2 linked regions of the Diceros bicornis minor genome follow. The protein of the gene in region 1 purifies or fractionates together with the protein of each later gene. This does not show direct contact. Links are inferred from orthologs where the notes say so. Each region holds a gene or a part of one and is shown on either strand. Other genes may lie near its edges. The genes, in order: MTPN and CAPZB.

Evidence for each region.
Region 2: the proteins of MTPN (region 1) and CAPZB purify together in Homo sapiens (co-immunoprecipitation; 3 studies listed by BioGRID and IntAct, with this or other methods). This does not show direct contact. The link is inferred for Diceros bicornis minor from reciprocal best matches to the Homo sapiens genes MTPN and CAPZB.

Annotation. Positions count from the first base shown.
Region 1 is NC_080742.1:84,474,986-84,482,699, forward strand, and holds the start of MTPN (myotrophin), read right to left. Parts: upstream 3,120-7,714; 5' UTR 2,880-3,119; coding exon 2,808-2,879; intron 1,425-2,807; exon of another isoform or gene 1,410-1,424; coding exon of another isoform or gene 1,368-1,409; intron 1-1,367. UniProt on the Homo sapiens protein: Promotes dimerization of NF-kappa-B subunits and regulates NF-kappa-B transcription factor activity. Plays a role in the regulation of the growth of actin filaments.
Region 2 is NC_080752.1:36,751,819-36,759,595, forward strand, and holds the start of CAPZB (F-actin-capping protein subunit beta), read right to left. Parts: upstream 3,182-7,777; 5' UTR 3,050-3,181; coding exon 3,047-3,049; intron 1-3,046. UniProt on the Homo sapiens protein: F-actin-capping proteins bind in a Ca(2+)-independent manner to the fast growing ends of actin filaments (barbed end) thereby blocking the exchange of subunits at these ends.

The sequences.
Region 1 (7,714 bases):
TAATTTTAAAAAAGGGAAAATACTAAAATGCTTCACCTACAGGTCCATTCTTTTTTTTTTTTAATTTAATTAATTTATTTATTTATTCACCCCCCAAAGCCCCAGTAGATAGTTGTATGTCACAGCTGCACATCCTTCTAGTTGCTGTATGTGGGACGCGGCCTCAGCATGGCCCGAGAAGCGGTGCGTCAGTGCGTACCCAGGATCCGAACCCGGGCCGCCAGCAGTGGAGCGCACGCACTTACGGGGCTGGCCCTACAGGTCCATTCTTATATGTTAATGTGAGAGATCTTCACAGGACTACCGAGGAGGAGCGAGGAGAGTATTTTAGAGACTCTCACCCCTTAGAAGGAAAACTAGACAAGTCCAAATGTTTCTTTATGTACCTTCTTTGTACACACTTACTCAGATACATACATATTACATAAACTCAGAAAATAATCACGAGTGTTCATAAATTGGTGGATGAAAAAGGTGAGTCAATGTGCAGGGAAGATGACTGCTGAGCAGAAGAAATTATGTTATAAGGACTTGAGAGTGTTAAAAGGCACAATAAGCGAGCTCAGTCAGTAACAACTGGATTGTGGGTTTTTGGTTCTTATATTTTTTGTTATTTTTCATTAACAAAGCAAAAGATATTTTAACAGATTCAAGTTACTCAATAAAAACTAAGAAAGGAAAAAGCTCAATGTTCTGTTCATAGGATTACATTACAGTCAAACCCTTTTGGATAAACCAGTTCTTAGCACTTCTTTTTACTTTTCTTTGAATGTCTATCTTCCCTCTCACGCACATCTTTTTTGTTAATGAGAGGAGGCAGCATGGTAGTAACAGGGCAATACAAAATAAAACTGAACATAATGACTTAATTTAAAAAACTAACTGAAAATAAATTAATCCATTATTATTGGCACATATTTTCACATAAACGTTTTTGTGTGATTCTGAATTCTTTGTGCATAATTTATCTGCCTGAATATGGACCTTGGGAACGTCCCACCAAAAATCCTGATACCATATGCTTTCACAACTGCATTTTAGATTGTCAGAGACTGCATGGAGTAGTTAAAGATGTAAGTCTGGAGTCAGCAGTTTACTTCTGGCTTCGTCATTTGTTATCTATACGTTTGGATTTTTTTTCTTAAGTACCCTGCATCTCAGTAACCTTATCTGTAAAATGGGAGTAATAAAAGGATTTACTTCACAAGACTCACAAGGATGATATAAAATAATGTATTAGGAAGACACTATATAAACTGTGTTATTTTTGTGGCTGTGAGATCAGTTAGTACTTATCAACTTTTCATATTTCAAAGACATCAAATAACCTAGCTTCCCCCATAACAGAAAAACAAAAGCCCACTCACTTCCAGAGTACTGCAGTGTCCCACCACTGGAAAGTGCACCATGGATTGAAGTGTTCCAAGTAATTTCTTCCCTTTAATCTTACACTGAAACATCCAATAAGTCAGGTTTCAGATTGCCACTAGCTGAGAAGGCAGTGAATGGCGTCCTAAAAATCCACTGCGAATAACAACTTAGCAGATAACCTGCACGCAAAAAAGTCTAAATCGTAAACAGTAAAACCTATCAACAGCTTGCCTTGCACAATCCTGCAAGTTTAGGAAACTCCGCTTCTGCTTACTTGCTTCCTAACACAGATCTCTGAAGCAAAAACAGACCACCATAACAGTGGTCATATTCTTTGAAGAACTCAAATCTAGATTGGGTTCTCACATTTTTAGAAGGTGAGCAAGATGCCCTCCATGGTTATGTCAGAAAGTTACACTTTTTAGAAGCAAGATGCCCTCCATGGTTATGTCATAAAGTTATAGTGTTGTTTTGGAAGATTTCTTTCTAGATTATCATCATATTAAAATCAGATGTTCTCTCATAATTAAGTTCTCTCATAATTACAAAGGGCACAGTTTCAGGGTCCAAAGGCAGGCCAGCTTAATTTTAAGTTTACCAGTCCACCACAATGTGGATTCAGGCTTCTATGCTGGGTTTAGGTTACAGATTAGCTTTCTTCATCATGATTTTACCCGCGAATATACTGTGACTAAACTGCATTACTACTTATTACACATGCAAGCATTTCAGATGGAATCAAGGAGAAAGATGGAATAACTGAAGTTAACATGCTTGTCTGAAAACTACTCAGATATCTTAAACACTCTCAAATGCTAACTGACAATCCTACCACTTGAAGCAAATAGGTACTTGTCGAAGTGGGGGACAGGAAAAGGACCACACCCAAAGTTAAGACATGACAGCGAAGTGATACCAAGTGTCAGAATTTTAACTATTGCTATTTTCGGTGCTCTTTTTCACGGTTAACGACTACCTGAAATTCCTAACAGGCCCCAAGTTAAAGACAAACGTTCCTCTGATTCTAATCACTCAGGTTACTTCATTCAGTAATGGGCAGGTCCAAGATGGAAAATCACCTCATTCAAAGAAAGATGTGACTAACTCTGCCGAAGAACAGGGCCAAACTCAGGGATCCGTGCTCAGAAGGGACGCTGCAAGAGCGGGTTAGCGCTCCTCCCCTCCCCCAAGGGGTCAGGGAAGGCAAGAGAGCCTGACTGTCTCCCCACGGCAGTTACCCGGCACAGGACGCGACCTCGCTACCTGGACCCTCCTTTCAGTTCAGACGCTCCCTGACTCCCTGCCTCCTGGTGCCACCTCCATCCAGGATGTCTCTCCGCCCCCCGCCCCCGCCCCGCCAGCCGAGCTCCCGTCAGCTTCCTCAGCCTCACCTCCATCCCACCTCCGCGCTCGCCTACTCCACGCATCCCGCTTACCTTGGCCACGTAGTCTTTCACCTCATCCAAGTCTCCGTTTTTCAGGGCCCACATGAACTCCTTGTCGCACATCACCGCAGCGGGGCGGGCCGGCTGGCCGGGCAGAAGACGAGGAGGCGGTGGCAGCAGCAAGCGGACGCCGCCGGGCGACAGGGAGACAGGGCCGCGCGGAGCCGGAGAGGAGAAGGGAAGGCGGGGTAGGCTGCCAGGAGGGCGAGGCAGTTGGCCGCGGCGACCGTTAGGGCGGGAGAAAGTTCTTTTGCGGCCACCAGGCCCAGCAGAGCAGGTTCCGCCTGGGCGAGGGGAAGCAGGAGCGTTTACACTTCCGGTTCACTCCCAGCTAGGACCCTCCCCCAACTTCCTCTTCCTCTTCCCCACGGCGGAACGCCCTGCGCCGGACCCCGCCCCGACGGGAGCGCCCGTGTGCGCAGGCGCAGTGGCTAGACTGCTTTGCTAACGGGTGGGGGGGAAGTGGGCGGGGCTAGGAGGCCAGCGAAGGGGGTCGGAGGTCAGGAAGGGCTGAGAGCAAGAGGAGAGAGAATTTCAGATGGGGTCTGGACGTTTCTGCACACCATAAGTGGGAAAAACTTTTTCTTTAAAACACAACCTTGGAGGGCATCTTGCTCACCTTCTAAAAGTATCCAGTAGGAGTGTTTGATTTGAATTCCTTCCCTTCTTTCTTTTCTTTTCTCCCTATTCCCTTCCCTTCCTCCCTTTCTCCCTTCTTCCCTCCCTCCTTCCTTCCTCCCCTTCCTCCCTTCCTCTTTCTCTCCATCCCTTCCTTCCTTCGCTCTCAAGCATCCCTTGGTCTCCTAGTACATGCCAGACTCTGCTGGGCACCAAGGATATAGTAAAAAGATGGAATAAAACAATTCCTGCCCTCAAGGAGCTCTTTGGTACTTATAACAATAATGGGAACTCACTGTGTCTATACTATGTATAATGTTCTGTGGGGAGAAAAACGTTAGTGTGTGGCAGGGAAAAAACTTTACTCATCTCCTTGACCAGCAAATGATGTCCAGGACTAGGAATTCTGTTTAATGCCATGGGACAGAGCAAATCTAACTGTCAGGTACAATTTGTGTTTTTAAAATTTTGTGTTCATTTCTTTTTAATGGTTTGAAGCTTCAGGACTGTTCTAGTGAAGCCAGTTCTACTCTTCCTAGAGTTTGGCTGTATTAGCTTGGGGCATATCCACCAGGTAAATTGTGCCTCATCCCTAATGATTCAGACATGCACACATGAACAGAGAGATCCCATAAAAACGCTTATTGGAGGTATTATATATATAAAGTCTATTATTTATGATCCACTAAACAATTAAACCAGTCTACTTGCTGTGCTTGCCGTATAGTAGGGGGGCGGAGAACACAGACTCTGGAACCAGATTGCTTAGTTTTGAATACAAGACCCAACCCTTACTAATTTTGTGTCACATCTGTCAAGTTACTTAACCCCTCTCTGTTTAATTTTCCACTTGTGTTAAATGGGGCTAACAAAGTTCAATAAATGTAATTTTTTTTGCTATCATTTAGAAATAGCAAATAGAGATTTCAAATCAAAAGAAAAGTCTCTGAATATTGAACAGCTACCTTGATTGCCATTCTGTTGATTTTCCTTTCTGACAAATAGAAATACAAAATCACGTACCTGATGGTGATACATTTCTGGAAACAAAGCTCCAGGAGGAATTTGTTAGGCAAATCCTGGAGTCCCCATCTCTTCTCTTACACTCTCACCTGTGTGATCTTTGAGTGACGTAAGGCTGACAGCTCTTGATTTAGATCTCCAGCCCAGACTTCTCCTTTGTGATCTGTTCTTATATTTAACCTCTTACCCATTTGAATGTCTGAAACTTAACGTGTCCAAAATAGGATCTAGTCTCCTCTAGATTCTAAACCTAGTTGTTCCCTAGACTTCTCCATCTCTATAAATGACATCAGCAACCATCCCGTCACTAAAACCAGAAACATGGTGACAAAGATTCTCTCTTTGACTAAACTTGAACCAGGCTCCTCTGAGCCCTCTTCTCGAGTAGGCCTCAAATCTTGGTCTGTACAGACTTGAACAAACACTAACATAGTTCCTAACAGCTCAAGGCCACCTCTCTAAGATGACCCTAGTCCCCTTTAAAGTGCCTGCTTGAGAAATCTCAAAGCTGTCCAAATTTTCTTAGTGTTTGTCCCACCCAACACCTGAGGATAGGGCCTCTGACTCCCAGTCTCTGTAGGAGGGTAGAATCCTAACTTCGATGATTGCCAGCCGATAGGCACAGCTGGCCCAATCGCATTCACACTGACTAACTTTTTCTAATTTGTCACTTCCCTGACTCTGCTGAGCCTGCACTTCTCCCTCTTCCCACTCCCTCATTCTCCCTTTAGAACACTCATTTACCTCTGTACAAATCCAAGCTGAGTTCAGTTCATGCTAGGCTCTTTTCCCTATTGCAAGAGTTACTACTGAAAAAAATCTGTCTTGACCACTTTCACTAGTGTCTGGCTTTGTTTATCTTTGAAAATGGGAGTCATCAACAACTCCTCCCTTTCCCAGTCTTTCTCTCTTATTCAATCCGTCAGTAAATCCTTCAAAATATATCTTAAATTCTTCACTTCTTGCCATCTTCACTACTGACTATTCCCGCCACACACCCCTTCTCCACCACTGTCATCTCTGTCTGCACTGAGATGGTGCCTCCATAATATCCTCCCGGCTGGTCTACCCATTTTCACTTTTACCCTTTTCCAAGTAATTCACCACATAACCAGAGTTACCTTTTTGAAACATAAATCAAATATGCACTTCTTGTCCTAAGACCGTTCAATGGCTTCCTATTGCATTTAGGATAACATCCTAATTATTTGCGATGGCCTTCAGGGCTTTCTGTGATCTGACCCTGAGAGTCTCTCCTGTCTCATTGCTTCCTTGGTTCCCAGAGATCTCGTCTTCTGTCAGTTTCAGGAAAAACCAAGGTCATTCCAGCCTCGGGCAGTTATGCTTGTTGTTTCCTGTCTGGAATGTTCTTCTAATTCTTGCTCACTTCTTCTGAACTTTGAGGTCTCAATGCAAATGTTACCTCTTCAGGCCTCCAGACCACTTACTTTAAATAGGTCCGTCAATTACTTCTACCATGTAACCCAGCTTTTTTTCCCCCCTTCACCTCACTTATCACAAATATTTTCATTATTTTTTTGTTGATCTATTTTGGTAGGTATTTATGGTGTTCAGAAAATATTTCCTTTTGTCTGCCACCCTGGGCACAAGAGAGAATTACTCTTCCTGGCTTCCTTGTGGTTGAGTAATGTCATGTAACTAATTTTGGCCTATTAGTTATGAGCAGAAGTAATATGAGTCACTTCTAGGCTTGCCAATGCAATACCCTTCAGAGCTCTTTTTTCCCTCTGGGACAGCAACCAGCAACATTCAAGACAGTGACTACACAGTCTGCCTGGGTTCCTGAGTGGCCACAATGAGCAGAGCTCCTCTGCCATCCTGTAAGGGATATGTAGTATGAATAAAAATTAAACTTTTGTTGTTTCAAGCTACTGAGATTTTGGTGTTTATTACTGCAGCAACACTGAGCCAATCTTGACTAGTAGAGAAATTGTTGTCAGAAGGGAGATGTTACTAGAACAAAAACCTTATATAGATGGCATTGGCTTGGGGACTAGGTAGTACATAACAAAGGAAGTGATATTAGAAGCTATAAGGATAGTGATTCATATTCACAGGAGTGAAATATTTGGCAAAGCAATCTCTTGTAATAGCATGGTGACGCATGGAGGGCAGATAATGTACCCTATAAACTTGTAGCTTTAGTAGAATAGGCTGGAAAATGGAAAGCTGGTGGCTTGTGTTGGTAACTATTTTTTGTGTGTGGGGGCATTATTTGTGTGTGGGGTTTTTATTTATTTTTTCCAGCTTTATATAATTGACATATAACATTGTGTAAGTTCAAGGTATACAGTGTGTTGACTTCATATATGCATATATTGAAATGATTGCCTCAGTAAGGTTAGTTAACACATCCATCACCTCACATAGTTACCTTTTTTTTTGTGGTGAGAACTTTTAAGATTTTTTCTCTTAGCAACTTTCAAGTATATAATACAGTATTGTTAAATATAGTCACCATGCTGTACATTAGATCCCCAGAATTTATTCATCTTATAACTGGAATTTTGTACCTTCTGACTGCTTTCACCCCCACCTTCCTACTAACAACCACAAATCTACTCTCTGTTTCTATTCAGTTTTTTTAGATTCCTCATATAAGTGAGATCACATAGTATTTGTCTTTCTCTGTCTGACTTATTTCACTTAGCATAATATCCTCAAGGTTCATCCATGTTGGCACAGATGACAGGAATTCCTTCTTTTTTAGGGCTGAATAATATTCCATTGTGTATGTATATATGTATATGTGTGTATATATATATATATATACACACACACACACACACACATTTTCTTTATCCATTATTCTGTCAATGGACACTCAGATTGTTTCCATGTCTTGGCTATTGTAATTAATGCTGCAGTGAACATGGTAGTAAAGATATCTCTTTGATATCCTGGTTTCATTTTCTTTGAATATATACGCAGAAGTGGAATTGCTGGGTCATATGGTAGTTCTATTTTTAATTTTTGAGGAACCTCCATACTGTTTTCCATAGCAGCTGCACCAATTTACATTCCTACCAACAGTGCACAAGGGTTCCATTTTCTCCACATCCTCACAAATGTGTTATCTCTTGTCTTTTTGATGATAGCCACTCTAACAAGTATGATGTCTTATCTCATTGTGGTTTTGATTTGTGTTTCTCTGATGATTAGTGATGTTGAGCATCTTTTCATATATCTGTTGGACATTTGTATGTCTTCTTTGGAAAAAAGTCTGTTCAGATCCT
Region 2 (7,777 bases), on another chromosome or scaffold:
GGATAACTGAGATCTGTTTTCTCTATCATCACACCTACTGAAAATAAAACCCAGAGTGGTCTTAATTCATTTACTTACGAGGCAACCCCACGCCACCACTTCTGTCCTACCCTAACTATCTACACTGGTTTATAACAGTACTCAAGTATTGGACAAATCTGACAAAAAGCAGTCAGAAATTACTGATAAGCCTAGGGGATACTAAGCACAAGTTACTGAAAGAATAAATATAAAATCCAAGTGGTTAAGTTCATGAACACAGACACGCCTCAAAAGAGAGCACTCCAAGCCATTTCCCCTCAGTGCCAGGTGCTGTTCTAGGCCCCAGGGATCCGGCCATGGAAAACACAAGATGAAAATCCCTGCTCTCCAAAGAGCTCACGTTCTGGCCCATGCTAAATATGCCTGCATCACCGCACTACTATCTCACTATTAAATGAGCCCTCCTTTGCAAAGGACTCAGTATGCAATTGGTAGTCGATAAATGCCGATCCTCCCTTGCATCTCTGAGTACCCCATTACAGTCATGCACCACCTAACAACATCTCAGTCAATGACGGACTGCATAGATGATGGTGGTCCCCTAAGATCAGTACCATATAGCCTAGGTGTGTAGTGGGCTAAACCATCTAGATTTGTGTAAGAACACTCTATGATGTTCACACAATGACCAAATCGCCTGACGACACATTTCTCCGAATGTATCCCCATCCTCAAGCCAAGCGTGACTGTATTGTTTTCTAAAGTGTCCTTTATATCTTCCAACACATAAACAGCCTGACAACAGGAAGGACGAAGTTTAGAGCCTGCTAGATGTGTTTCCACTGACTGAGCAACACCTTACATTACGCCACCCCCAGAGCCTCAGCTTCCTCACCCGTAAAATGGGGACTGCAGCCACCTCAAAGGGGATTAAATGAGCTCATATAGGGGAAGGGCACAGCACAGTGCCTGGCACCCAGTGGCCCCTCAGGAAATGTTAGCCCTTTTCCTCCACCCCTTCCACAGTCCTTTCAGATTATCCAAATAAGACCCAAAAACAGGACTCGTGAGAAGCCTCATGTATCATCGTGCTCCTCCTGGTTCATCACAGGCATTTTCCCATCACAGATGGAGAATCAGGCTCCCAGGGCCAAGGCAAGATGCCCTCTCTGCCAGATATGCTGCCTTGAGCAGCCCCACCCAGCCACCCCCATCATCCTCTGCTTTTGCCCTGAGAATTAATTTATAAAACCTCGCTCCACTTTTAAAGTCCTCACTCAAATCTGTCCTGGAGAAGTCTTTCCCCACCCCGGCCTGTTCCACCCTCCACGCAGCCAGTTCTCAGCCACCACTGTTGAGGAAGTCCTATAGCGTTAAAAATGGCACCGCTGTGTTTTTAATCAAGACACAGGAAGGCATGAAGAAAAAAACTATTAGCCAGTCTGAATTAGTCACCCTAGTTCAGCAGCAACATCCCTTCATTAAACAAGGAACCAAGATCCTCAAAACCCTTTGGGGCTCAAAGTCCACATGCAAACATCTGCCTGCACTGGGCAGAGGAGCAGGTGGAAGGCCTGAGCTGTGTCAGCGCACTCTCCAGAGGTTCCTTGGCCGAGTGAGGGAGAAGTCCTCTGGTCCTTCCAAACTGGGTGCTGGCCTGCCCTGCAGAGAGTTCCAAGGTGGCCAGGAGGGCAGGCTCATGTGTGGGGCCTATGGGAGACCTCAGGCTAGTCAGAGCGCCCAGAGAGCACCTGCCTTCATTACCAAAACAAACACCACGAGTGAAGCCAGCTCTCCCTCGGAGTCGGGCTCACCTGACCCGAGGCACGTCCATAACCGGCAGTTCCAACCTTCACAAGCTGACAGTTCAGGGGGAAAGGGAGGTTGCGCCTGTAGGGTTGCATCGTATCCTGGCCGTATGTTGGCCTCGGGGCCTGCTGGCCCCCCAAGGGCTGCGGCCTCACAAGGGCGATTGTGTGTTCATTCCCGTCCTGTCGGCTCCCCCACCCTCAACCCTCCGCTCCCACTCAGGCCCCAGCGCCAAGGGAACCGGCCGCCCCGCAAGCACCGCACCCGCAGCACGGAGGCGGCGGCCGCGGGAAGGGCCCGCAGAGCGCCGCGCTGCCTTCCGGGCACACAGACGCCCGCCCTTCCCTCGCTCGCTCCGAGGAGGCCTCCCCAGAAGGGGCAACCCTCAAACCTGAGAAGGCACAGCCCCGGCCCAGCCCCACCCGGGCTGGAGAGCGCCCCTCGCTTCCCAGAGGCGGCAGAGAAGGTTCGCCCTAGGTGAGGGGAGGGGACCACCTGGGTCGGGGGCAGGGCAGGGACAGGGCCCAGGAGGGAGGGGAAGCCCAGGACACAGCGGGGCTGACACAGACTACCCTAAGAGTGGTGGGAAGTCCGGGGAAGGGGATCAAGGAGGAGGGGTGACGTCCAGGAGGGGGCCATCGGCGGAGGATGGGGAGGTCCAGACTCCAGCCCACGGAGGGAAGAGAAGATTCAGGCTGAAGCATGGAGGAGAAGGGAAACAAATCTAGGCTGAGGCCACTAGAGGAGGGGTTGACGGGGGTCCAAACTGCGGCCATGGAGAAGGGAGGGGGGACAGAGGCCTAGCCTGGACCAAGAGGAAGAGAGCCTAGCCCGTACCATGGGAGGGAGAAACGACGGCCTAGCCCGCGCTCTAGGGACCAGGGAAGGGGACCTAGCCCGGGCCATGGGGAGAAGGAAGGGGGACCACGCCTGGGCCCCCGGAGGGGGTGCCTGGCCTGGGCCACAGGTCCAGGAGGGTCTAGCCTGGGCTATGAGGGAAACCAGCCTGGACCCAGAAGTGGAGACTGGGACTCCAGCGTGAGCCAAGGGCGGGGGCAGGGACGGGGAGGCAGGGTCGCGCCCGGGCGGCGGCCCCCTCCTGAGCCGGCAGGGATGGTGTCTACCTGCGGTCCGGGACCCCGCCCCTCCCCCACCCGGCGGAACCCACCCTGCCCGGGCCGGGGGTCGGCGGGGCAGGGGGACGCGAGCTCCGACGGGACCCCAGGGCTGGGGGACGGTGATGTCGGGCCTTTACCATGGTGGCGGCGGCGGCGGCGGTCCCGGTCCCGGCGTCTGAGGCTCTCCCCCCCGCAGCAGGGCCCGGCGCTTCCACTTCCCCGGGTGCCCAGGAGTGAACATCCGGGTCAGCGCCCCCCTCCCCCCGCGCCGGGCCGCCGCCACCTTCCTTCCCCGCCCCGGCCAGGCCCGGGCCCGCCCCCCACGCAGCCGGCTCTCGGCCAATGAGCGCGCAGGGCCGCGGCGATCGCCAAGTATGGAGCGCCGCGCGGGGGGAGGAGCGCCGGACGGGGAAGTGGGGGCGAGGCCTGCGCGGCCGGGGCGGGGCGCGGCGGCCGGCGGGGAGGGCTGGCCCGGGCCCGGGCCCGGGTCGGGGGCTGCGGGCTGGGGGTCCAGGTCAGGGCCCGGGGTTGGAGGCGCGGGGCCGGGAGGGCGTTTCCGCCGCACCCACACCCTACCACTCGCTCTGCGGCTGCCGAAGCCGGTGGCGGCAGAGGGACCGTGCCCGCGGGCCTCCCAGGCGGGGATGCGGAAGGCAGTGGGGCGGGGAGGGACTGCCCGCCCCACCCGGTGCACGCGCTCACTCCTGCGGCGGACCCGGAACTGGAGCGGCCCGCGGGCCCGGCCCAGCCCCGAGGAGCGAAGGGAGCGAACCTGAGATGGAGTGGCAGCGCTGTCACTTGCTACGTGTAGGACTTGGAGCTAGTCGCTTCACCTGGGCCCGATCTCTAAAAAAAGAGCCTCGGGCCACAACACTCATTGAGCACCTACTGTATAGCAGGCCTTGTTTGAGGCGCCAAAAGATAACAGAGGTGAACCAGGTATAGTAAGATGCCCTCATAGCTTCATGTTACATGTTAGCTGTGAGGACCACACAGGTAGAGGTTAGAAGACTGGGCTCACTAAATGTTAGGTGTTGTATTTTTATATATGCTACAGAGACCTAGCACATTTACCCAGTGGGGCTGCCTCACTCCACAAAGTGACTCAGAAATCCTTTTTTTCTTCATTCAACAAATATTTGTTGAGCTTGGTCTGGAAGGCAGGAGTCCTGGAATGCTAGTCCTGCTAATAATATCTGCCATCCCTGGCTTGCTCCTCTCTCTTGTGAGAATCAAATCAGGTCACATGTGAGAGGATTGTAAACTGTGAAGTGTTGCACAAATGACAGGAATTATTACCACAAACCAGGCCATGTCCTAGGCCTCTGTGTTCAGGGAGCTCATAGTCAAGTAAAAGCTGCCACCGACATAAAAAGTGGTAGAGCTTAGTCCCACAAGAATGATTCAGACCTGTATTACAGAAATTCAGAGGAGAGTGGCAATTAGGAATTCTTTCACCTGGTAAGTATTTATTGAGCACCTACTGTGTACCAAGCACTGTTCTAGGCTCTAGGGATAAAGCAGTGAACCAGGCAGCCCATGTTGTTGCAGAGCTTGAACATTGGAGGGGAGACAATCAGCTACTAAGTAAATATATATATATTTTATATATATATGTTATATAGCTCCTAAGTAAATATATATATATATTAAATATATAGTGTCAGGTGGTAATTAGAGATGTGGAGGAATAGGCTGGCAGGTTAGCAAAGTGGGGCTGTGTTTTGGAGGGTGGCCAAAGAAGGCCTGACTTAGAAAGTAACATTTGATCACAGAGAGGGAGCAAGCCATGTGGACAGCAGAGGCACAAGGAACAGCATGGGCAGAGACCGGATGGGGACAGTCCTTGGTGTGTTCATGGAACAAGGAGGCTGAGATGGCTGGCCCAGGTTGAACAAGGGGAGAGCAGTGGGAGCTGAGATCCAGGAGGTGCAGAGCCGTGACAGGATCTGGCCTGAGCTTTGAGAGGATCAGGAGGCTGCTGTGTTCTGAATGGACTGTAGGGGGACTAGGGCGGGTAGAAAGCTACTTCTGTATTCAAGGCATTTTTTTCTTTATTTAAAAAGCACGTATAAGGGGCTTCCCATGTGATGGACACTGTTAAGCACTTTGCAAATAATAACTCGTTTAATCCTCATAACAGAGGCCTAAATAGGTAAGCCCAAGGTCACACAGCAGAGAGATGAAGGTGGCTTACATCAGGATAGTAGCATTGGAGATGACAAGAAGAGATCATAGAGCCGGCCCCGTGGCTTAGCGGTTGGGTGCGCGCGCTCTGCTGCTGGCAGCCCGGGTTCGGATCCTGGGCGCGCACCGACGCACCGCTTCTCCGGCCATGCTGAGGCCGCGTCCCACATACAGCAACTAGAAGGATGTGCAACTGTGACATACAACTATCTACTGGGGCTTTGGGGGGAAAATAAATAAATAAATAAAAAAGAAGAGATCATATTCTGGATAGTTGCTGATGGACTGCTGGTGGGCATGAGAAGAAGAAAGGAATCAGGGATGATACTCCGATTTTTAGCTTTCTCAACACTAGAAGGATTTAACCATTTGTTGATCTGTGGAAAAGTGTACAAGGAACAGGGGTGTGTTTGTTGTTTTTGGAGGGGGATAAGAGTCATTTTGGGGCAAGTTATGTTTGAGATGCCTGTTGGAGATTTGAATGGAGATGTCAAATAAGTAATCAGATATGGGAGTCAGGAGTTGGGGAAAGAAGTTGGAGCTGGTGATAAATTTATGAGAACTGTCAGCTAATAAATGATATTTTAAGGTCCTTAAAAGCACAAGACATCTAGGTGAGCTCACGTAGGAGGTGACTGTAGAGAGAAGAGGTCAAGAAGACAAAGAGGAACCAGCAAGGAGACCGAGAAGAAGTGACCTGGGAGGCAGGAAGAGGACCAAGAGAAGGCGGTGTCCCACTGGGAGGCCAAGGGGTAAGGGCATGAGGGAAAGTTTTGTGAAAGAAGTGACACTTGAATCATTTACTTGAAAATAATATTGAAAGAAAGCCTTGTTCAAAATGCATGACATATTTTCTCATTTAATCCTCATTACAACCCTATGAGGATAGTACTATTATTATTCCCATTTTACAATGAGGGAACTGAGGCACAGAGGGGTTAAATAACTTGCCCAAGATCAGATAGCTAATGAGTTCAAAGCCAGGCAGTCTGGGACCAGAGCCCACACTCGTAACCTCAGATCTGATCACGTTGCTTCCCTGCTCAAAAGCTTGTGAAAGTTAAGTTATCTTGTAATAAGAGGGCTCAGGAACCAACCCAGAACTCAGTGACAGGCTAGTCCGTCTCGCTCATGCAGCCCCATTTCTGCTTCTTTTGGTGCATCTGCTACATTCTTCCTTTCCTATCTGGCATCCTCAGCCTGCGTGTAACACTATTGCCTTAACATTGCAGCCTGCATGGGATCCATCCTAGTGGCCTTTGTCCCCTCTTTATTCTCTGCATCAGCTTGCTCTATTAACTGGAAAATTTTTTTTGTTTTTCATAGTTCAGGTCCCAAGACAGAATCCAGTTGACCCAACTCTGGGTCATCTTTTTTTTTTTTTTTTTTGTGAGAAAGATCAGCCCTGAGCTAACATCCGTTGCCAATCCTCCTCTTTTTGCTGAGGAAGACTGGCCCTGGGCTGACATCCGTGCCCATCTTCCTCTACTTTACATGGGATGCCGCCACAGCATGGCTTGACAAGCGGTGCATCAGTGTTTGCCCTGGATCCAAACCTGCGAACCCCGGGCCACCAAAGTGGAGCATGTGAACTTAATTGCTACACCACCGGGCAGGCCCTGGGTCATCTTTTAATGATGACAGCTCATCAGACAGGTCACTGGCAAGTCCACAGATTGACTGCACATAGGTCAGATCTCACCCCTTGACCAGCCAACTATTGCTATGAGCAGGGGGGCATGTGGCATTAAATATGACTGCCTACAAGGGGCTGTGGGTAGGTGGGCAGGCACCATAAATATTTTTAGTACTGTTTCTCCTCTTTCAAAAACTCAACCCCCTTGAAGTTCATACTATCCTATTTTTCCACCCGTCACCCCTCCTTTTTGCTCTCAGGAACTGACTTGCACCTCCCCTCCTGCACCTTTATAACTTTAGCATCCATAAGCATAATCCATCAAAAATCTTATTGACCCCTCGTTTACTGATTTCTTTCCTGCCAATGAGTTTTTTCTTCCCCTGTCCCCAGGTACCCACTCCCATGGTCTTACCTTGGACTTGCTCTCACCAGTAATTGCACTATCTCAGAAGATACAATCGCGAAGATCTCAAATCTGACTTTAAGCTCCTTGCTACAGTATCACACACAAGCATTTCTTCAACCTCATCAAGACCTGCAGACCTTGGACCTGCCAGATTTCCACATTTATCTTCCTTCTTGCGCTCACTTCCCTCCTTACCAGCTTAGTAATGAGCATTATACTCTCTTCCTGGCAAAAACCTGTAACCCCTCTGCCCCCCTCTTTTCTGCTAACTTGCCCAACCCCAGTTAAGCGAGCTGTTCCCCTACTCTCTGCCTATATTGCTGGGAAATTTAAAGTGAATGGTGTCACTTTATGTTGATGTCCACAAATTTTAAACGAGCCCTCAATCCTGCCTATCCACCCTACCATATTTCCCTGCTATTTTCAATTCCCCACACTCTACGATGATGATTTTTCAATCTTCTTCCTCCTTTATCCCCTTCTCATCCTTCACTCTAAACAGATGAGCTTGCCTTGTACTTCACAGAGATAATAGAATCCATCAGACAGGAACCCTCTTGTCCATCTACCAACAACTCTGCACCTTGCCCACATTCTCTGCCTTCCCCGCTTGTGAGTGAGGGGTCTGTGCACCTA